Linked DNA regions of Arabidopsis thaliana. The protein of the gene in region 3 binds, or shares a complex with, the protein of the main gene of each other region. Each region holds a gene or a part of one and is shown on either strand. Other genes may lie near its edges. The genes, in order: AT2G10440, AT5G03500, AT3G52860 and NRB4.

Region 1 (6,478 bases), on a different chromosome or scaffold from region 3:
CTCTCGCCGCTTATGTTACGAGCACGCAATGTTAACCTTATCAAAATCATAGAAATTTGATCTCAACTCTCAAGTCACCATCATCCTCCACTATCGAGTTCACCATCGTTGTAGTTTGTGGTTGTGGTCCCGATCGTGTTAAGTGGTGACGTGAAGTTATCGTCACGTAACATCCAACCCTAATCATCACCATCTGAGCCACTATTAGCCTTCTTCGTCCTCCTTCTTCACCGGAATCTAGATCTATCATTGGTGCTTTGTTTGGGTCTGTGATACCGAATCCTCTACTTCTTCGTTGCAGAGTGAGATAACGGTGAAACCTTATTCTCGTATTCATGTTAAGGTGTTGTGTTGTTTAATTATTGAACCAACCTAAACCAAGGGATTACGTATAGTTACGGCCATGAATTGAAACTTGATTATTAAGGAACCTTTTGAGTTGATCGGTTATGGCGTCAGTTGGGTTGTGTTAGTGAAGAAGACGATATAGTCAGTTATTGGCTTATTAGAAAGCGTTGGGTTAATTGTCAAACCAGAAGTAGCATTGACATGTACGTGATTTGAATTGTGGCGTTGGTTTAATTATTAAACCGGGGAGTATTTGGTCACGTAAATGGATGTGGCGTAGTCAATTACGTGTTAAGCAACTAATATTAAATTATTAGACTTGGTTTAGTTATTAGATTAAATAACAAATTATTAAGGGAATATAATCTTGATTGATTAATCTAAATTGTTGTAGTTTGAGATCGTTGTTGAGCCGGATCCATTGTTGCTAGTCCTATTTCTTAAAATCCAACCGAGTTGCCAAGGTGAGGGTAGGATCTGTGGAAACATAGTATCACCTTTACTTTTGTATTTCTGAATTTCATTTGTATAAGATTAGACATTGGGTGCTGATTGTTAAAATGTTAGGATTATATATTAAATATTGTTGATTCAGTAATCAAACAATGAATTTGTACTAAGGGATTTAGACAAATTCACTCCTCTCTTAGCTCACAAATAATCAAAGGAAAAGAACTAGGTTGCTTAAACAAAAAGCTAGGGTTTGCTCTGTAATAGTAGTCTCTTGTATTAGGTTAAAGATGATCTCAATGGGGGGTTTGACCCCTCTATTTATACAATAGGTCGAATATACCAAAATATGATAAACTTCTAATTATCTTAGGTTTAAATCTTCATTACTTCTATTCTTCATGAGATCCTCTTCTCTTAAATGGAAGTTTTCCCTTTACACGACCTAAGAAGTTGGTTATGGCGATCTTGATTGTCGACTTAAGTCTTCGGGCGATCTCATGACTTAGGCCCATTAACAGGCTAACCGGGATACCCCGGTTCAATCGAATTCTCGATTTTATTCACATTATTCCTCGGTTTAAATTAGTATTGTCGGAGGTGCTAATTCCTGCACCAACAAATATTATAATACGTGTTGTGTGATATTATGCGATAGGTTGTTAGCGTGATATGCATATTGATTTTTGAATACTCTTTTGTCGTTTTCTTGTACTATATATTTATCTGTTTTGTGTTACCATGTTGAGTAATTTCTCTAATCATTCTTTTGTTTGTTTGTTAAGGTTTAGCGAGGCGGTTCTTGGTCAAAGCCTATACATACATCTCCCCGTTAGGACGCATAACTTAATGGAGGGAAATACTAACTGGAAGCCTAATGAACAAGGCGGAAACCGTGATGCTGCGAATAATCGTATTGATTGGAGATCACAACATGAGCCTGAATTACGGCAAAAGGTTCTTTCAAAAATGTAAGCCATTCTTTCAAGAGTTTCATGTTTCTTTTGTTGGACTCATTGTTCTTATTTGATTATTAACATTCATGAAAGAGAGTAAGGTTTTCTTGGTCATGCTTTCGATGTGATATTTGTAGTTTGCGCATGATAAAGATTGCAACAGTTAAAGCATAAGAGTTGTGCATAAATGTTTATCATAGTTGACAAAACCTAACTTCAACCTTTTGTACTTTAAGTTTTGCATATTCTTTTAACCTCATTACCTGCATTTAGGCTCTTCCTCACTAGGAGAATCTTGTTTTACTCTCGCTTCTATGTACAATTGCTTGGCACATATGTATAATTGTTTCAGTGTTTGTTCGCTAAACGATTATCGTAAGTTCGAATATTAACTACGGATTATTTTCTCTGTTTTGTATTTTTAGTGCAATTAAAATGGTATCACTTCCTCTTGAATATCAGTTATAACCAAATTCTTCATAGTCACTGATATTTTGTTCTCATGTATGTGTAGAGTTGAAAAGTTCAAGGAAAAGTTTCATGCACATGAAGAATATAAGATTAACGACATCGCTTCCAAATTTGAAGAAAATTTTTATAGCATAGCAACCGATAAGGTGTTAAACTACAAATTGTTTCTCCATCTATTAACTTCAGAATCTGAATTTGATATCTTACTCATTGTCCCCTTGCTATGTTTCAGAATGATTACCTTAGGAAACTCAGTGAAACACTGCATTATATACAGAGAACTTACACTAGAGTTCTAGGTAATAAGTTTTTGGTTTCATAATTATACTATTTTAGCTTAATAACAAAGAAATCACTAACTAACTTTTTTTTTCTATGTGTTTATCTAAACATCAGCTTCTCAAGTAGTTGTGAATCAAGCTCAATCTCTTCCCGCCTTGTTGCCATATATGCAGACTACAACGAGCCAACAATGGTTACAGCAAAACACACAGAGCAATCTCTGTGTCATCTGCTTTGCCAAGTCAGGTCCCTATAACCGTTCCCGGTTCTCAAAGACAGATACATGGTAGGCAACAACTTCTTCCTCAGCAGCAACAGCCTCAAATGAATCAAATCCGCCATGGTAATTTACGACCTTCGCACATGCAACAACAAGCTCGGTCACCGCAGCCGCAACATCATCCGCAAAGTTTGTTGAAACAACCTATTCAACAGCCTTTTCCTCAATCAAGCTAACAAAACACTCAATCACTGACCAGAAATCAGTTTTCGATACAACGGGTCAGTTTTAGTCATCAACAACAGATGGTTCTGCCGTCTCAAGAACAGAAACGACAAGAACAAGAGCAACTCATTAATCAACTGACGAATCTTCCAACATCACGACCAAACAATAGAGACCAACAAGGAGCTTTTCAGGTATCCTCGTCTCAGCAGAACAATAATGTTACCTTACATGCAATGTCTCAACAGAAGAATAACCTCCAAAGTATGACTAGAGGTCAACAAGTAGGACAATCTCAACCAATGATGTCACAACAATACCGACAACAATACCCCATGCAGCAGGATCCTCAGAACAGAAACTTACAGAAACATTTGGATTTTGTACAAAACAATACCAATCAATTTCAAGCAGCAAGTTCGTTGCGCCAAACACAAAACATAACAGATCAACAGAACCAGCCACAACAATTAGAGAGAGCAAATCCATCTAGTATGTTTCCTCTCTTACTAACTCTTGTGATAATGTTTTTAGTTCTAATAATGAATATCATTGTAGCATCTCAAGATTCTACGGGAAAGACGGTAAATGTCAATGCCGGAAACTGGCAGGAGGAGACCTATCAGAAGGTATCTTCACTTGCTTTGCTCTTCACTTCTTAACATCACAATTAGGGTTTGATTTTGTTTTCAATTGATTCCCATTCTGATATGTCCTGCAGATAAAAAAACTGAAAGAGATGTGTTTACCTGTTCTCAGTTTAATGCACCAAAGAGTTGCGGAAAAATTGCGGGAGGTACTTTATTTTATAACCTAATTGTTTTGCTTGTGGAACAAGAATTTGTTCTAATGGTTTTCTTAATCATTTTTTTTTCTAAAACTTTGTGTTGTTTTTGGTTTAATAAACCTAATGTTTCCAGACTGAATCTCTTCCGCCGCAACCGATGCAAGCTCAGTGGATTGAAAAGCTAAAGGCGGGAAAATTGTCAATGGAACACCTTATGTTTTTCTTAAATGTTCATAGGAGCAGTGTATCAGAGAAACATAGAGACAAGTTTAGTCAATATGAGTACCACATATTGAAATTTACCAAGAGTCAGACCATGGTTTTGAGGCCAACGCAGCAACAACAAGGACAATTTCCTCCTTCTCAAACAGCAATGCAAACCCAAAGTCCTCAAGTCCATGTGTCACAGTCTCTTTATAAGGAGCAAAGGAGATCACGGTTGATGCCAAGTAGCCAAAATGAGGCCTCGTCTTTGTTGCAAATAAGGCCTAAGTTGGATCCAAGAGACGAGAACATCATTATGGCTTCCTCAGGAAATGTCATGTTACCTTCTGTTAAACAAAATCCTCGGGCCGTAAACACAAATATCAGTTCGGTTCAGTCGTTGCAGAAGCAGAAGCGATTCCATCACCGACAAATGCAACAACAACAACCACAACAAGGGAATCATCAACATCAAATGCAGACAAATGAGATGAATGATGTGAGGATGAGGGAGAGGGTCAACATTAAAGCCAGGTTGCTTGAGCAACAAGTCTCATCGAGTCAGCGCCAGGTTCCAAAGCAAGAGTCTAACGTTTCATCCTCTCAGATACAGAACCACTCTTCTCCTCAGTTAGTTGACCAGCATATTCTTCCTGCGACGATTAACAAAACCGGAACCCCATTGAACTCTAGTGGTTCGGCTTTTGTTGCTCCAGCTCCATCTCCAGTTCCTGGAGATTCTGAAATGCCTATATCTGTTGAGTCTCCAGTTTCTGGTGTTGATGAAATAAACTCAACTTTAGATTCTTCTAGTAAACTTGGCACACAAGAAACTCCTCTGTTATTTGTTCCTCCGCCCGAGCCAATCACAGAGCGGCCTATTGATCGACTTATAAAAGCGGTAAGTAAACTCTATAGCTTATCTAAGTTTACTTTCTTTACCTTCTCCTATTTACTGACCTAATTTTTAATGTGTGTGGCTTTCTAGTTTCAAGCAGCATCACCAAAATCATTGGCAGAATCTGTAAGTGAGATTAGCTCGGTGATTAGTATGGTTGACATGATTGGAGGATCGTTCCCTTCTAGTGGAGGATCTAGAGCTGGTTTAGGCGAGGATTTGAGTGAGAGGACAAGAAACTTTACCACACACGAAGAAACAAATCTGTCTAAGAGAATGAAGCGATCAATCAACATTGTGCCGCCAGATATGTCATCACAAATTGATAGTTATGAACAGTTGAGTAGCCTTGAATCTGAAGTTGTTTCCACAACATCATCTGGCTTGAAAGTTAACAATATTGCGGTAAAATCTACTCTATTGGTATCGAACTACGAAAACAAATGAAACATCGAAATAAATCCATTTTTTCAATCTTGTAGCCTGGTTATGCCCTTTTGCAAGAAATCAAAGAAACAAATGGGAGACTTGTAGAGACAGTGGTAGAGATATGTGATGAAGATTCTTTAGGAACAATCGTCACTTGTACTTATGCTCCTGTGGCTCTCAGTGCCACATTCAAAGATCATTACAAGTCTGGAAAAATTGTAAGTTACTTCAAACTTCTTCTTTTTCCTCACTCTGCTCAGATTTTTTATGTCTCTAAATGTTTGATGCAGGCACAGATTCAACCTTTACGCTTACTATTTCCTATGGATTATCCGTATAGTTCTCCGATAGTTCTCGAGGAAATCTCCTTTGACACTAGGTATGAATCTTTCTTAGAAATCAAGTAACAACGATTGGAGTAAATATATATGATCTTAAGGATTTATATCTGCATGTTTCAGTGTACACAAGTATGAGGATCTATCCGCGAGAACCAGATCAAGGTTCAGTTTGTCCATGAAGGAATTTTCAGAACCAGGGTTTTCGAAAGGAATAGCTCAAACGTGGAATGATTGTGCGAGAGCGACAATGGTTGAGTACGCAGAGAGACATGGTGGAGGCACTTTCAGCTCCAAGTATGGTGCTTGGGAAACGGTTCTAAGAGCTTCATGAGGACTAATACTTCCTTTCTCACTCACCGTACAAGATAGTTTTTAGGTGGGAAGCCTTATAGCCCAAGTTAGGTTTTTTTTTATTTCCTTTGAGATAGAAGTAACATTTATTTGTATGGTGTGGCTCATGTCTTCTTATTGTATATATTTTAACAAGAAATTATAATTGTTTCAAAACCGATAGTATAATAAATTATCTTGAAATATTTAGGCACAAAGCCTTTTTTTTAAAAAAGATTTTAAAGTATTTTATTGTTTTTTCTTATTACATGTTTCATTTATAGAGCCCAAAAGGTTGGAATATAAGTTTTAAAAAAGGATTACAGAAAATGAAGCCAAGCCTATAAAACTAAATCATCCTTAGTAATTTAAACATCCACTCATAAAGATTTTGCTGATGAAACGTGTTGATGAAGTGTTTTGCCCTATGACACGGGCCGAGACGTCAAGCACCGCTGTTGAATTCGCGGGAAACCGCTAGAATTCACCAAAATGTTGAGAATCGTCTTTCCTTCTGTCGATCTCGAACCCATGTCC
Region 2 (4,270 bases), on a different chromosome or scaffold from region 3:
AATGACATATCATACATGATCAAGGCAGGTGATGATTACTGAGCTTACTTACTTTTAACATGCAAAGACAAAAACAAACAAAGGTAAATACATTATAAAAAAACAAAGAGGTTCGTCTCCTCCTAATTCTCCATCTCCCTCCTAATTCTCCATCTCCATCCTCTTTCTCCTGTCCATATCCATCTTAATCTTCATCTCCATCCTCTTGTGAAGAGAAATAGAGTGAGTAAGAGGAGAGTCCATAAGGAGAAGAAGATTACTTTGATGGCGGATTCGTCCATGCTGATGATAAATTGACAAGACCGACTGCTAGGGTTCCAAAGATATTTGACAGGATTTAGCTTTGAACAAGGTTAATTTTTTTTTGTTCAACTATTTTTTGTTGATTCCCTTATAAAGCTGTTGTTGTTGTTCAGATACTTACGTGTAGTTACGAACAAACTGTCGGGTCTTCAATTTAGTTTAGCCCTGCGTTAAGCCCATATTGGTCTAATCTTCTTATGAATCCGTTATGGTTATAATAGTTCCCGTTAAGCCGAAATTGTAATAATAAATGTTGAACCGCACTAACCGGCGGAACTAAATGCCGGTTCACGGGTAACATTGAATAAAGATGATATAGGCTTTACTTGTTGAATCATGAGATTGCACACGTCTGTCTCTCTCTCTCACACACACAGGATCAATTAAAAAAAGTTTCGAGGGCATAGGTTATTAGCGCTAATTTACACAAAATGGGATTAACAAAAAGTATACTTTATTGACCATCTAAAGTGACGAAAGCATCCTTAAGAAGTCCTTGTGCTTCTTCTCTCCTCCTGCACACAACCAAAACATCAAACGGACCCATAAGAACAACCAACAAAGCTTCTGAAGAATCTTTAAACAGATGATAGATTGATATTAAATTATTAACACACCATAAAGACAGAAAACTTAAGTAGCATATACAAACCTCTTAATGTCTTCCACAGCTTGTTTCCTCTGTTGAATTTGAAGTTCCATAATGTGAATAAGCGTTGCTCTCGCCTATACAACAAGAGAAAGATCAAAACGATGAAAAAACAAAAAGTGTTGAAACCATGTTGTAATTAATCGAAAGATGAGAGCTTCTTTACTTGGTGAGGCCTCAAGGAATTGAGAAGGTGATGCAAGTTCTTGAAGATTGAAGAAATTTCACCAATTCTCTTCGCATATTGAGAAGGTCTGTCAACAAGAACATCAGCAAGCTCCAATATATGTAACTGTAGTTCTCTATTCAGTGACCTGAGTTCCTTCTTGTAATCTACACACAAAGATATTTGAACTCAAAGAGGTACTTTCAAAGAACATAACTTGCAAATGAACTCATGTAATAAGTTTGATTCCAATGAAGGGAAGAACCAAAAACCATACTCTAGACAGCCAATAGCAATTGCATTTTGAGTTTGATTTCACAGAGTTAGGAGAATGACATACCAAGATTAGAATCTTTTGGATAAAGTTGAGGCACTCCTTGTTCTTCTAAGCTTGGAAGAACATCTTCAGTCTACTAACCAAAAAAATTGAAAATTGCTAAAAACACATAAAGATGAAGATTTTAAAGAGGGGGAAATGTGGAGGAGACTCACAGTATAGTTGCCTCCAAAACAGACGTAGGTGCCTTCAATCGGAGGAGGAGGTTCAGGAGCAGAATCAGTGTTTTCTGAGAAATCCTTGTAGAGTCTGTAATATGGAGGAGGAGGTGGATATGTAGCTGTAGCCATTATTCTCTACATATCCAAATCAAAAACTAAGCAAAATCAGTAACAGATTCCTAAAATTAGGGTTTCTAATCAAAAACAAATCCGTCTACCGCCATAAAACAATCTGTTCTCATTAGAATACAACTATGTCATCACTACCAAATAACTCTGCGACCACTAGAAACTAATCTGTCATCACTAGAAACTAATCTGTCATCGTCACGTTGAAGTAGCCGCCACCACCACAACCGTGTTATTCCTAAATCACCACCAATTTGTCCAAAATCGTCAAATGCTTAACAGTAGATTTCAATTGATTCATGAGGAAAAAAGAAAGGTCAATACAAAAAATCCAGTGGCCACAAATGGGTAGGGAGACGAATGAGTTGGTGGCGACAAGGAGAATCTGAGGGAGAGAAATAAAAAAATCCCTTTCACGGGAAGCATAAAAGACAGAGTGAAAATAATAGAACTCACTGGAGATTCGCCAGAGAGATGGCTCGGCGGAGAATTCACGCAGCCGGAGAAGACGATCGGAAGAAGACACGCTCACCAGAGAAAGCAAATCGAGATTTGTTTCCTCTCTTTTAGTTGGGCCTTTAATTTAGTTCAGGCCTGCTTTAAGCCCATATATTCCTAATCTTCTTATTCCTCGTGAAGCTTAAAACGTATTTCTAGAGCCGTTGAGGGATTTGCTATATGGGGGAAGACTCTGTTCCACCCACCTATATCAGAATTCAGAACCATTTTATATGCTTCAAATGACAAAAGAAAAATGTTTTTAAAATATTGGAATTCAATTGTGCAAGTTTCGGTATAATTTGTTTAGGTGATCCTTGCAAGTTGCAACAACTACTTAACGGTTTTTGAGAAGCCTTGTAAAAAAGGTTTTGTTAGGATGGTGATGATGAATGTATGATGGGTGACGACTAATTATGTTTATGATTTTATTTATTTATTTATAAAGTATATGCTTTGCTTAGGTTGAGTAGTGAAGCTAGCTAGTTGGCAAGTAATGGCTTCTTTTGGCGGCCAAGCAATTCTCTATCTCTCTTTCACACACACAATCCTCGACGCCAAGACTTAAATCAATTCCTCCTGATTTATTCATTTTAAAATTGTGATGATACTAGCTTCACAATACACTCAAAAATATTCTTCTTAATGATCTATTGTATGTATAGTAACACGTTAGCAAAAGATAATCATTGAGAGCCAAAGACAACTAATGTGTATAGAGTTGAATGAGTAAAAGTTGGATATCAATCCAGCTCTAAGAAACTCATTATGTAGAATGAATATTAAAAAAACATGTGTTTCTTGAATTTTATAAATTGCTGTCACCGAGTTTATTAGTATACTATACTACAAAGACCTAGACTACAGTTACAAACTACGATAAGGGAGGTTACTTCATCGAATACATATTATTAGCTAATCACAAGATTAATAATGGTTTGATCAAATAATTGGATAACCAAAATAAAAATCAAAGTTTCTTAGAAAGAGGCGCAAACATAGGGAGTGATATTATATATTTAATTCGTTTTAGCTAATATCATTATAACTAAATATTGTATACATAACTAGAATCATGATTCATAATTGTGTGTTGTGTAATTGTGGGTTGGCTCAACTGCACATGAACTGCTCGACCCCAAAATTCGATTGCCTTTTACTTTCCAATTAATTAACTTAATTATTTAATCAGCAACTTAAGTGTACATATATCCGCAATGATTAGTAGTATTAAGAAACAAAAACAGAATTCGACGTATTTTCAAGTTAAATTTGTACTTTAGTAGCTTTTATATATAATAGTTGGTTTCAAATCTTTAATGTAATTTGTTACAAAACGTAATAAGTTTGCAGGAATTTATAATATGCTTGAATTGTGTGTGTTGTGGTACTGTGTTTCGTGTTGAAACTACTTGTGGATGACTCAAGCCATCAATATAAAATTATTTATAAAGTTTTAGGATTTTAGTTAGTGATAATGTGAAATCAAAGGAAAAAAAATCAATAAATTGAGTGGCATATTTAGAATACGCAATCCAGTTTGATTCTTCTTAATATAATACATTACATTCCAAGTGTCAAAATTGTAGTTCATTTTATTAATAAGAAAAAATGGTATATGTAGAATGACACCTTCTTGAACAGAAAACACAGATTTAATTTCATTTTCAGAAAGAAAATAAAATAACATCTTCTAAGATTAGTGTTGACATTGAATCCACATTTTTGTTACTTTAGCTATAATGATGTGTGTCTTTTGAAATTATAAGGATGCTTATGAGTATTTAATAAGTAAAATACTAGTATTTTTTTTTATGTGATTCATAAGACAAGCAAAACAAAAGTTAACCAAAAAAAGAGAAAATCATTTAAAAAAAATTGAAAGGAAAAAAATAAAAACAAGAAGAGAACAACAAGTGGTTCCAGGCTTGCAAACCAAAACTTCCAGAAAGGAATCCTTCACCAAAAGTTATTTTGGGTTTGCTTCTTTTCTCATCTTTTCTCTTACCCATTACATTATATATACA
Region 3 (3,257 bases):
CTAGCCCCATACTTAATTTGGAGTCATTAATCAGACTTTCTGCTTTTGAATCTGGTGAATGTGTAGGTTCAGGCAAAGTTGGAACCACAAAACTCAGCTGGAGCTTTTTGTGGATCCTTATAATCGGGGTGGGTGTTGCAGGTCTTTCTGGATATGCAGTCTACAAATACAGAATCAGGGTATACGATGTTCTTTACTCTGGTCTTGTTATCATATTAAAACATAGGAAGATTTTGCGGTCTAGATAGAGATGCTAAGTAACAATTGAAATTATGCAGAGTTACATGGATGCGGAAATTAGAGGGATCATGGCACAGTACATGCCATTGGAAAGTCAACCACCCAACACAAGTGGTCACCATATGGATATATGAGTGAAGTTATCAACACAAGCCAAGAGACTCTCTCTCTTTCTATGAGTAGCTTTAAGTTTCCATGTAAATGAATCAATGGACTTGATACAACTCTAGAGAAAAGAAAAAAGCCACAAACAGAAATAAGTGTACCTGCACTATTTGTAAGAAATGTGGATTTGCAGATGGAATCTCCTTTTTGTCTGCATATTACTCTTACAATGTAAAATAGACATAACTGGATGAATAATGAGTGTTACATTATTTACTGTTGAAACTAACTTAAGATCCATAAGAAGAAAAACAATAAACTTTGATTGAGAGATTGTTAAACTTTCTCCAGCTCATCTCTGTGTTTCTCAATCTGTTCTTTCACAAGCTTCTGCGACTCTTGGAAAAGCCTCATGTGCTTCTTTATAAGCTCATCTTTTGTCTTAAGCTCTTCCTCCATTACTGCAATATCCTGTTAAGAACAGAACAGAAGAGAGCAGAAACTGGTAAGACAATATGTGTTTGGAGTTTTCACATTGGTAAATCAAACCACACCTTCTTAAGGCTTTCAGCTCTCGAGGGCGCGCGATCTTCTCGCTTTAGTCCCATGAAGTAAAGCTGAAGCTTTTTCGCAGCTTCCATGAAATCTCTGGCGTGCCGCTCCACATCAACTGCAGCAGTTCAATGAGGGGAATTAAGCTAGAACATCGAATATGGAATCAAAGCTTCGGTTTCAACTGAATTCTAAGCACAAAATTCACTGAGATCATAAGTTAAGCACAAAAACAAACACAACTTCCAAACTATCATTCAAACTAAAACCCTAGAATGGTGAAATTGGAGAGTAGAAAAGGGACTGACTTTGATGAGAAGGGTGAGGAGAGCGATCGATGGCCTGAAGCTCTCTCGCCGGCAAACATGGTAACAGAGCAGCTTCCAAGGCTGTGACGCAAGCCATAATGTCCTCTATGTCATTATTCTGATTGTTCGAGGGGGTCTCCGGTGATCTGATTCCCGGTGGACGGTCAGGCGGTGACGGCGAAGGGTCAGAAGACTGCGGCGGCTTTTGCTGATAATCCATTCACGCCGATCTCGATCTCTCTTTCTCTCTGCTTGTTTGTTTGCCCATAAGGTTTAGTGAAAAATATTATAATGGGGGCCCATTTACTGGATTTAATTTGGGCTTATTGGGCCTTTTCCACATTCTTAATTGTTCTTAAGAATATCATTTTGATGTAATTAATTGAAAACACTGAAAATTCATTTTTAATAAATATATGAAGTAAATCATTTATTTCATATGAAAAAACAATAGTAAGGAGAAGGAACAACATTTTCTGATACTTTACTCTTGATTTGATGTCACAAGATATAACAGATGATGGCTTTTGTAACAAATTTTGATTCCTTATGTAACTTTTTATCTCCATCAAATTAGATAAGTTACATCCTTACTTAAAGATTTTTTAGCTATGGATTTTCTAATGAAATTTGTAAAATGAGTAAGCGATTGACTAAATACTGTAACCATTCTCTTCATTATCAGTGAAAATAGCTTTTAACACATCTCTCATTCTCTTCCTTCTGATTCACAATCATCCATGTGAAAAGATGACAACAAAAACCTTAGATAGAGAACTCACACATTAGTTACAGAAGAAAGATTCTCATTTACTACTACATAAGGAAGTACGGAACATATGATCAGACATCAAGCTTCCCGGTCGGAGAAAGTCTGCTACTCCGGTATTTAGGAGACAAGTTAACAAACTCCAAAGCCTGTGTTCTGAGCTGAACCGGATAATCAGCTGCACAACCGATTCTTGGACCAACTCCTGTCGACCATTTCAGTGACAACTGATGTCCCAATTGTAATGATCTTGACTGTTTCTTTGAGTTTATCCTTAGTAGCATAGATTTCTGCGGCACGTTAGCTTTTGGACTCCCAAGTCCACCTGAGAGTGTTCTCTGGTAGCTACTCCGTTTTGCCTCCTCAAGTGTTCCCACTGTTCCGTTACCGTTCTCATCTGTTTCAGTCTCTGCTTGGAATGTTGTGTCCTCTTTCTTTAACGGTTCCGGTTCAGATCCTCCGTTGGATTTAACATAATCATCGTAGCTGTCAGAATCTTCACTAGCTTTATGCACCTACACATACATAGATATATTAGCTCTCAAGTAGTCTCTTTTTCTAAACAACCAAACTCTAGTTAATGATATCATTCACCAGCCAAGATTAGAACAAGGGCATTACCTCAACATTGTCTAGGTTCACTGCGTTCTCTCTGAGAAACCCGAGAAATGTGTCGAGACTATCGTCTGACGGCCTGTAATGTCCGCTATATGCAGAGATTGTCTGAGATTAAACCGAAAACAGAACGATCAAACAGAGAAATCACAGAAGGCAGACATAATAAAAAAGTTGATATGAATGAACATGTATCTCAACCACTCTAAGAAAAGGACGTGGCCTTAGTAAGTTACCTTGAGAACTCCATTGTCAACAATCACCCTCCCAGCAGCTAATGTAGCTCCTCCAGCCAAAAAGCTTGAGTGATGGAACCTTCCTTTCTTTTTCTGAAGTAAACATAAACAAAGAAAAGAACCATTAGAATCTTTTTCAATACTAATATCAATTCATCACCAATAGAAAGATATAACGGTTTTAACTTACCAGACCGGCATAGAGTTTCTTGAAAGTACTCATAACAAAGATCCATTTTGTTCCTTCCGATCCATGCATTGTGTGTAAGAACTTTCCAGTTAACTTGTGAACAATCTTCCCTTCTATGATCACATACTCATACTCTTCCCTCTCTTGCTGATACCAGAAAAGGCTTATATGAGAGAAATCCCAAAAACAAGTAAAACCAATATTGACATAAGAGAGGAAAAAATGGCACATACAGGTCCAAG
Region 4 (7,555 bases), on a different chromosome or scaffold from region 3:
TCGGCTGTGACAAACTTCTTAGCAATATGTTGAACCTTGCCATAGCTTTGGACGACAGGTCCTCGTTTTCTTTGCTGTTCAAGAAACCAGACCGTGTTACGGTAAGAAGATAACGCAGTTTCTAATAAAGGGTTTCTAGTAGATGATTCTTGTGAAGATTTTAACTGTATCGTAGAAGTTTGCTCGACTCGGTACGGAAAATCTATGGTTCTATTTACTTGAGACTGAAGGATTTGCTTGTACCTGGTTTCGACCGGGAGTTTATCTAGAAGAGATGGAGAGCCATTGGGGTAGCTACAAGGAACCAGCAGACGCAATGGTTGAATAGGAGACTGTAATAGAAGCACAAAGCATATATTATAAAAAAGGATAAATGAAATATTTTGTTTCACAAAACGTTAATGTTAACGAGATGACCATGTTTACCATTTGTGTTGATGAGAGATGAGCCTTCAAGGCTGGGCTGAGAGAAACAGCTATAAACGAGAATCTAACTGTTGTTCCTTCACACCCTATGCTTGATATTGCAACCTCACTAGGATCAGCAGCATCTTCATCATCACTTATCTCAACAACTGTATCTATCAGCCGCTGGTTTATTTCCTTTATTTCCTCCAAAAGGGCATGCTCGGTCTGCAGTTCAAGATTGAGTCTTCAAAAAAAAAAGAATATCGAAACCTTGTGCTTCCAAATTTTCTTTGTTACGTGTGTGTGTGTGTGTGTGAGTGTGTGTCAATATTCAAATATAGCTAGGGGAAGTCTAACTGAGTATCATACCTCAGTTCTTGCCTTCTTGCCATCCGAAGTCGCAGTAGATTCTAGATCGGATGTTTCTGAACCAGCAAACTGCTTGTAGTTATCACCAACACTTCCTCCCAGTGAAGCAACGCTTAGTGGCATTGCGGTTGTGTGACGCTTCATTTTCTTAGTCGCCATCATTCCCTCTTGGGTCATGAAGTTTCTTGCTTGGAGACGGCACTTAGTCATTGCAACCAAGTCTTCACCAACGGAAGCTCTTGAACCGTTTCCTGGTGCTGAACCAGCTATCCGATCAACCATGCTTACAACAGATCCGATGTCACTTACTGCAGAAGAAAGGGCTTGTGGTGAGATGGACTTCACCTGAAAGCAAAGCATACATCATAAGCAGAACAATGATTATATTACAAAACGGGTTTGCAGCAATATCACCGTCCTGCTGCGATATACCCTTAAAAATTGGAAATTTACTTACGGCTCTAATAAGGCGTTCAATAGGCAGCTCAGTAGCACTCGGTTTTCCAGATGTAATTGTCGAAGAATTTAAAATATTCCCATCAGGACTAGTAAACTCCTGAAGGAGAGGAGAGGCAGAGATCCCTGGAGTGCCAATTGCTAGGGACTGAACTACACCTTGCATGCCGGTTGCTTGTTGGCGTGCAATATTTCCCATTGACAACGAAGAAGAACCAGGTTTCTCAGAGTCAACTTGCATAGGGGACGGAGCCAAGGGGGTTGAAGAAGGAGATGGGACAACAAAAGGGGAATTTGCAGGTTGCAATGGAGTTCCCATCTTGTTGACAGTATTTTTCTGGTCAACCTGAGGAGACAAATGTTGTGACATCTGAGGAGATGCACCTTGCAGAAGTTGAGGCGACGAAACAGCTCCTGGTTTTAACTGTTGAAGAGGATAATTCGCACGCTGACCCTGCATAGAATGTTGCTGAAACATCCCACGACTGACATTCATCCCCTGCCTCGATGTTAAATCATTCATATCATTCATCTGCTGTAATTGTGCCGCTTGCTGTCTTGCTTGCAACTGTTGCTGTTGCTGTTGCTGTCTTGCTTGCAACTGTTGCTGTTGCATCTGGCGCTGTTGAAATTGCTGTTTGAGCTGCATTTGTTGATCTTGCTGTTGCTTGAGGTGCTGATGCTGAAGCAAACTGGAACTTAACTGGGGTTGATTCACATTCGACTGCAGTGTGCTCAACCCACTTTGAGCAGAGGCAGAACTGTTATTTACTAGTTGAGAAGTATTTTGTTGCATAGATCCCATGGCAACCTGCTGTCCATTGTTCAAGGTATTTCCTTGGCCTGATTCTAAACTAGAAGCCGGTATGGAACTGGGAATGTTCTGCTGTGGAGCTGAAACTCCAGGACGAGATGATAGAACATTGCTCTGCATATTTGTCATACTACTCTGTTGTGCCCTTGGCCCAGCACCCTGCATGCTCATTGATTGCATCTGCGGATTTGTTTGGTTATCATGGGATTGATCTTGAACTGTCTGAGATTGTGGTTGCTGCATAGGCTGCATCTGAGATTGCGGAAGCTGCCCTTGCTGTACTGGCTTCCTCGGCCTGTGCATATTTAAGAAACCTATAATCTGCTTCTCATAATAAGCCACCTTATCTTTTAATGCGGGCATGATGTTGCTCTTTGAAACAGATAGAAATTGTATCATTCGCTCCAACATTGTTTTGAATTGTCTCAGTTTCTCAAGCTGATCTGATCTTTGTTGCTGTGGCATAGAATCCTGCTCCAGATACAAAAATAACTTACTAAATAAAAAAGAAACAAATACATAGATGCAAGCTACAACTTCTGTAGGTTTGGGAAGGAACATAAATATCAGCAGGTTGATTTTCTAGTAAACTGTAAGAATACGAGTCTCAAGATTCTTTTTCTTTTTCTTTGTTAAATGGGTAACAAGACTCCAAAGTTGATGACGTTCTTATGCAATAACGAACCGAACTTGCATTGAATTCATAAAGCTTCTCAGAAGGTACTCACTACTGTTCCAGAGGACATAGACGTACAAACGATTCTCCTAGTATAAAAAAGAAAAGAAAATTGTAACTTACTTGCTGCAACTTTGCTGCAACTCTCTGGTAGATTTCATTCAGATCTGGTAAGTAAGTCTCTTTCATAGATTTGATCTACAAAGACAAGCAATATGGTCATATGATTACTCATTACAATGATATCTATCACTTGAAGATTTAATAAGTGTAGCCATAATTGGTAAAGATATATAGCAAACACAAAAAGAGAGAACTACCTTTTGGTAAACCTCCTCTTGCCAATCACCTCCATTTGCACTTTCCGTCTGTGCTGTCGAATCCAGCGATGCTAAGAATTATAAAAACGAAAATATGTTCAGCATCATATCCTGCTGAGAGATTATGGAAAATATCAGAACCTAAAGTATTAAAAGGATCAAAAGCATACATGATGGCATCTCCGGAAGGGTTCTTTGGGATTGATATAGTTGTCTCTGTTGGTCCACAACATTTTGAGGTGGAAGCAGGGAACCAGTGACTTGGCCTGAAGCTTGTAGCCTTTGTTGCACATCCTGTTGTAGCAGATTAGGTTGTTGTTGCAAACCCAGCTGCTGATGATGCGATTGAAGCTGTGGCATCATCTGCTGTTGTGATGGCTGATTTTGTGACTGTTGTCCCTGAGAAGAATACAAGCCATGGCCAGCCTGATGTGTTCGTTGCAGCCCAACCGTTGGTTGTGATAACATGTGCACCGAGTGCTGGTTATTCTGCAAACTCGAATTGCCAACCTGGGAATTGAGCATCTGTTGTTGTGGTTGCTGCAATCCTGCAACATTGCTTTGAGTGCCCAGTGGGTTCTGATGCGTTGCCTGGAGGCTGTTTTGTTGAGACATCAACTGCTGCTGGGCCGGTGGCTGCTGTTTCTGCTGTTGCTGTGGCTGCTGCAGTGGTTGCTGCTGCGACTGCTGCTGTTGTATGTTCATAACATTATTTTGTTGGTTCAGTAACCTTTGCTGATGTTGCTGCTGCATATCCCCAACAACATGCTGCCCCATCATCTGCTTCTGTTGGATGCCTGAGCTATTTGCAGCTTGTTGCCGCATTAATTGTGTAGGCTGCTGCTGTAGAGGAGAAATTGATTGTTGCGGCAATGAAGATTGCTGCTGATGGATACCAGAGGCTTGTTGTGATTGCGGATGTTGCCTTAGCATCGACGATTGATGCTGACGAAGCATAGATTGTGTCGTCTGCTGAGAAGACAATTGCGGACTTGATTGCTGATTGGTGTGGAGACCTTGGAGAGGAGCTGAGTTCACAGTGGAGGGCTGAGTCGCAGATGTTGGAACACCAGGTTGTTGAGATGAATGCAGTTGATTAGGCTGCAGCACATTTTGCTGCTGTTGTTGAATGTGTGATGGCAAAAGCGAATTGGGATTGGGAACATTCCCTGACTGGAAGTTCTGCTTGAGAAGTTGCTGCTGTAGCTGCTGCTGGTAAAGATATGGCTGCTGTTGTTGCTGTGAAGACATAGCATGTGGCCTACCCAGCATCTGCCTTTGGGGTCCTGAAAACATGTTCGAGGAAAGGCCATGCTGCCCAGATGAATCTTGCAACATTCCAGCTACATTTTGCATATTGGCATTCTGGTTCACAACGCTTGTGGTGTTATTATTGGTTATGGAAGAAACAGGTGGCATGGAAGATGGTAAAGCAGTAGAACCCGTCATTCCAGAGGCAGTATTATTCTGCATGGTTTGGGACAGCAACGGCTGAGGTGCTTGAGATTGATTGGTTGATAACGATCCTGGAAGAAGTTGGCCTTGATTGGTGGGTACTATTCAAGGAAAGGTTAAACAGCATCAAATAAGAGGAACAATTAGCCATAAAACCAGATAAACAGACTTAAGCAATTCATGCTTGAGAATCGTGATTACTCGAATCTATGGATGTGCCATTATTAGCGGCAGGGATAGCTGCGGAAGAACCAGCTGCATTTTGTGATTTAGTCTCCATTGTCAGCATCTTCATTGATATTTTCCGAAGGTAATCAGTCTGAAAGGCGATATAAAAGAGTATCAGGAAGGTATACATGGATTTCATACCCAACATATTGTGGCTTAGCTTTACAGATACCGAAAGTCAGTTCTTTTCCATGTTGTGGAGTCCATTGCCTCACAAATCTCTATATTTACCATACTAACGAAACAAGAATATATGTTCATAATAACCTGGTTAAGAGCACCGCTGAAAATTTTCTCCTCGAATCTAGCTGCAATTCTCCTGAGCTCGTTAATTCCCTCTGGTCCGGAAAATGGAAGGTGCTTCTTTAGTGTTTCCATTCTGCGCAAGTGGCAAGCAAATAAGTAAAACAAACAAACTAACTATTGGTCAAGGAACATAATAACCTTCTATTTCTGTAGTATTTGACTGGCATAGACAAAACAACGCCGCTAGAGTGACTTACATCTTGTTGACGATCTTCTGACGAGAATCAGGTGGCAATTGCGTTCTCCAGTCACCTGTATCCATGGCAGGCTCTCCGTTTGGAAGAGAAGGCCTCCAATTGTTATTATCCATCAAGTTTTCTGTGTTTACAAGCCATGAAGAGCAAAGTATCAATAGTAAGTATACAGAGAAACCAAAACATGACAATATAACAACTGATTATCCCAAATCAACAGGAAACAAATGACCACACAACATGGATTAGATTAACACTCAGAATTTCTTATTGATCAGCCAAAATGTTCATTCTTTCTAATGTTGGTAGCAAAAAGCAATAAACTCAAAACATCAAATAGCCAATCCCACCGGAACGAGAATCCAGGAACTCAAAATAAGCAAACTTTATTACATCAACAAAGTTCATCTATTCTCGTAATTGTAATAAACCAGACCCAACTACAAAGGGAGATACTTTATCTTCTTTGGAATCCCGATCAAAAGAGAAAACTCTAAAAAGCAAGGCTTAAGAACAACAGAAAAAAAAACGAGATTCGAACATTTCACCTCAAATTCAGAGCCAATCAAGGAGATTTGGCGTTTGACGGAGTCAAGGTTGGTACAACGATTAGGGCTTGATATTAGGAAAACAGAGGAGAAAAAGGGGAAATTGGAGCTGGATTTAGGGTTTAGCTTGATCGAAAAACGAATGAAGAATATAGGATCTTCTAGGTAAAGAGACAGAGGAAACTTGTTCGCGTCGTAAATCATAATCGAGCCTACCAGTTCGCTTATAACAAGTTTTTTTTTTTTTCAAAATAAACAAAAAAATCTAGTATTAATTACCACATGTATAATTGTATAGTTTTCCCAGTTCAAATATGGTAGCATTGGTGCAAAATGTATTAGAAATTTGTTAACTAGATAATATGACCACTATTTTTCAATTTTAAATAAATTATATATTTTTCGTTTCATTTTAGAAAACGTTTTAGAAAAGTGATTATAAAGTGATAATAAAATTAGATATAATAAAAGTACATTAAGTCACATATGTTGTTTACGTTTTTTTTAACAAAACAGCATTTTTTATTAATAATTTTATAGGTTGGAAAAATAAACCTTACTAGATTTTAACCCGCGATACACCGCGGAGACAATTCATTTTTAAAAATTAATATATATAAAATTTGTAAATTATTTTATAGTTTACCATTGTTACTAAGTAACGTCCTGCCAAATCCGTCCTACCAAACATGTCCTGCCAAACCCGTCCAAAAAAAAAACTATTTATTTTATTAATGTTGATCTTATTTATAATATGTTTATGAATCATTGTCAAAATATTTTAGTCGTTGCGTGACATTGAACCCACACATTTTTCGCCAATTGGTTAATATATGTTCATTCTTAAAATTTCGAATCACAAAATATGACGAATTTTTTTTTGAGATTTTTTAAAACTCTATATATTATATAATGATGTTAATTTTTTTGATAAATTAAACTTTTTATAAATTCAAATATTGATAATGTTTTATGAAGTTTAAATATACAAATAATAATATTTAAAAAATTAATATTTTTTGCCTTTTAGGTAATGATATAATAACTCTAAAAGCAAGAATTTAGAAGATTTAAATCCTTAAATAAATATTTTCATGCCTAAATAATTAATGTCAGTAGTATGACATTGTAAATAAGTTCAAATACATGATTTGTTTATTTAAACAAAAAACGTTTAGTAAGAATAATATTTATTTAAACAAAAAACATTGTTTTAAAATATAGTTAATAAAATACGTTTATGCTAATTTTAAGGGATTGATGTGAAGTTTGTTTGGATTAAATTTGATTGATAATGTGATTGACAATTTAAATTAAAAATTTAAAGTAAAATTAATTATTTTGGAAAATATTTAATGTTAATGGCATTGGGTTGTAAATAAGTCCAACTCTAAGATTTATTTGCTAAAATGACTGCAAAAATGTATATGTAGATAGTTAAGGAATAAAATCCTTAATAATCTGATTTTAAAAATAAAAGCAAATAAAGACGATTTTCAATTAATTTTGAAATACATTTGTGTCCTTTCTTAATTCAATTATTTTAACTGTTTTGTTAATGAACTATGATATAAATATAATCAGACTAAAAATTTTTTTTTTTTTATAACTTTTTTATTATAGGGGATTTTAGAATAATCATCACATAATATTCATCAAACAAAACACAAAACCGGTTGAAGGTTTTATACATATTTAACAAATGTAAATTTCAGTATCATTACCTAAGAAACAATCAAACTCACCTAACTTGTCAAGTGTACATGTCCTATAAGTCAAAA

Evidence for each region.
Region 1: AT3G52860 (region 3) and AT2G10440 share a complex: the UniProt entries of both Arabidopsis thaliana proteins name them as parts of the mediator complex.
Region 2: AT3G52860 (region 3) and AT5G03500 share a complex: the UniProt entries of both Arabidopsis thaliana proteins name them as parts of the mediator complex.
Region 4: AT3G52860 (region 3) and NRB4 share a complex: the UniProt entries of both Arabidopsis thaliana proteins name them as parts of the mediator complex.

The regions. Positions count from the first base shown.
Region 1 is NC_003071.7:4,013,216-4,019,693, reverse strand, and holds AT2G10440 (mediator of RNA polymerase II transcription subunit), read left to right. Parts: upstream 1-1,647; coding exon 1,648-1,769; intron 1,770-2,106; coding exon of another isoform or gene 2,107-2,133; intron 2,134-2,268; coding exon 2,269-2,371; intron 2,372-2,457; coding exon of another isoform or gene 2,458-2,524; intron 2,525-2,621; coding exon of another isoform or gene 2,622-2,680; coding exon 2,681-2,793; intron 2,794-2,883; coding exon 2,884-3,008; intron 3,009-3,051; coding exon 3,052-3,444; intron 3,445-3,486; coding exon 3,487-3,581; intron 3,582-3,673; coding exon 3,674-3,748; intron 3,749-3,872; coding exon 3,873-4,844; intron 4,845-4,931; coding exon 4,932-5,246; intron 5,247-5,323; coding exon 5,324-5,488; intron 5,489-5,530; coding exon 5,531-5,649; intron 5,650-5,731; coding exon 5,732-5,942; downstream 5,943-6,478. UniProt on the Arabidopsis thaliana protein: Component of the Mediator complex, a coactivator involved in the regulated transcription of nearly all RNA polymerase II-dependent genes.
Region 2 is NC_003076.8:875,916-880,185, forward strand, and holds AT5G03500 (Mediator complex, subunit Med7), read right to left. Parts: upstream 2,461-4,270; 5' UTR 1,859-2,460; coding exon 1,835-1,858; exon of another isoform or gene 1,752-1,834; coding exon 1,611-1,751; intron 1,529-1,610; coding exon 1,459-1,528; intron 1,286-1,458; coding exon 1,119-1,285; intron 1,030-1,118; coding exon 956-1,029; intron 819-955; coding exon 758-818; 3' UTR 525-757; downstream 1-524. UniProt on the Arabidopsis thaliana protein: Component of the Mediator complex, a coactivator involved in the regulated transcription of nearly all RNA polymerase II-dependent genes.
Region 3 is NC_003074.8:19,591,317-19,594,573, forward strand, and holds AT3G52860 (mediator of RNA polymerase II transcription subunit-like protein), read right to left. Parts: upstream 1,453-3,257; 5' UTR 1,426-1,452; coding exon 1,206-1,425; exon of another isoform or gene 1,016-1,205; coding exon 900-1,015; intron 817-899; coding exon 682-816; 3' UTR 532-681; downstream 1-531. Other genes in the region: VSR1 (vacuolar sorting receptor homolog 1), read left to right, coding at 67-179, 279-374; AT3G52870 (IQ calmodulin-binding motif family protein), read right to left, coding at 2,049-2,489, 2,596-2,697, 2,826-2,918, 3,016-3,162, 3,249-3,257. UniProt on the Arabidopsis thaliana protein: Component of the Mediator complex, a coactivator involved in the regulated transcription of nearly all RNA polymerase II-dependent genes.
Region 4 is NC_003070.9:5,430,580-5,438,134, forward strand, and holds the start of NRB4 (mediator of RNA polymerase II transcription subunit 15a-like protein), read right to left. Parts: upstream 6,040-7,555; 5' UTR 5,775-6,039; intron 5,774-5,774; exon of another isoform or gene 5,635-5,773; coding exon of another isoform or gene 5,577-5,634; intron 5,351-5,576; coding exon of another isoform or gene 5,343-5,350; coding exon 5,230-5,342; intron 5,106-5,229; coding exon 4,994-5,105; intron 4,818-4,993; coding exon 4,700-4,817; intron 4,600-4,699; coding exon 3,214-4,599; intron 3,115-3,213; coding exon 3,044-3,114; intron 2,922-3,043; coding exon 2,847-2,921; intron 2,519-2,846; coding exon 1,235-2,518; intron 1,123-1,234; coding exon 778-1,122; intron 634-777; coding exon 427-633; intron 333-426; coding exon 1-332. UniProt on the Arabidopsis thaliana protein: Component of the Mediator complex, a coactivator involved in the regulated transcription of nearly all RNA polymerase II-dependent genes.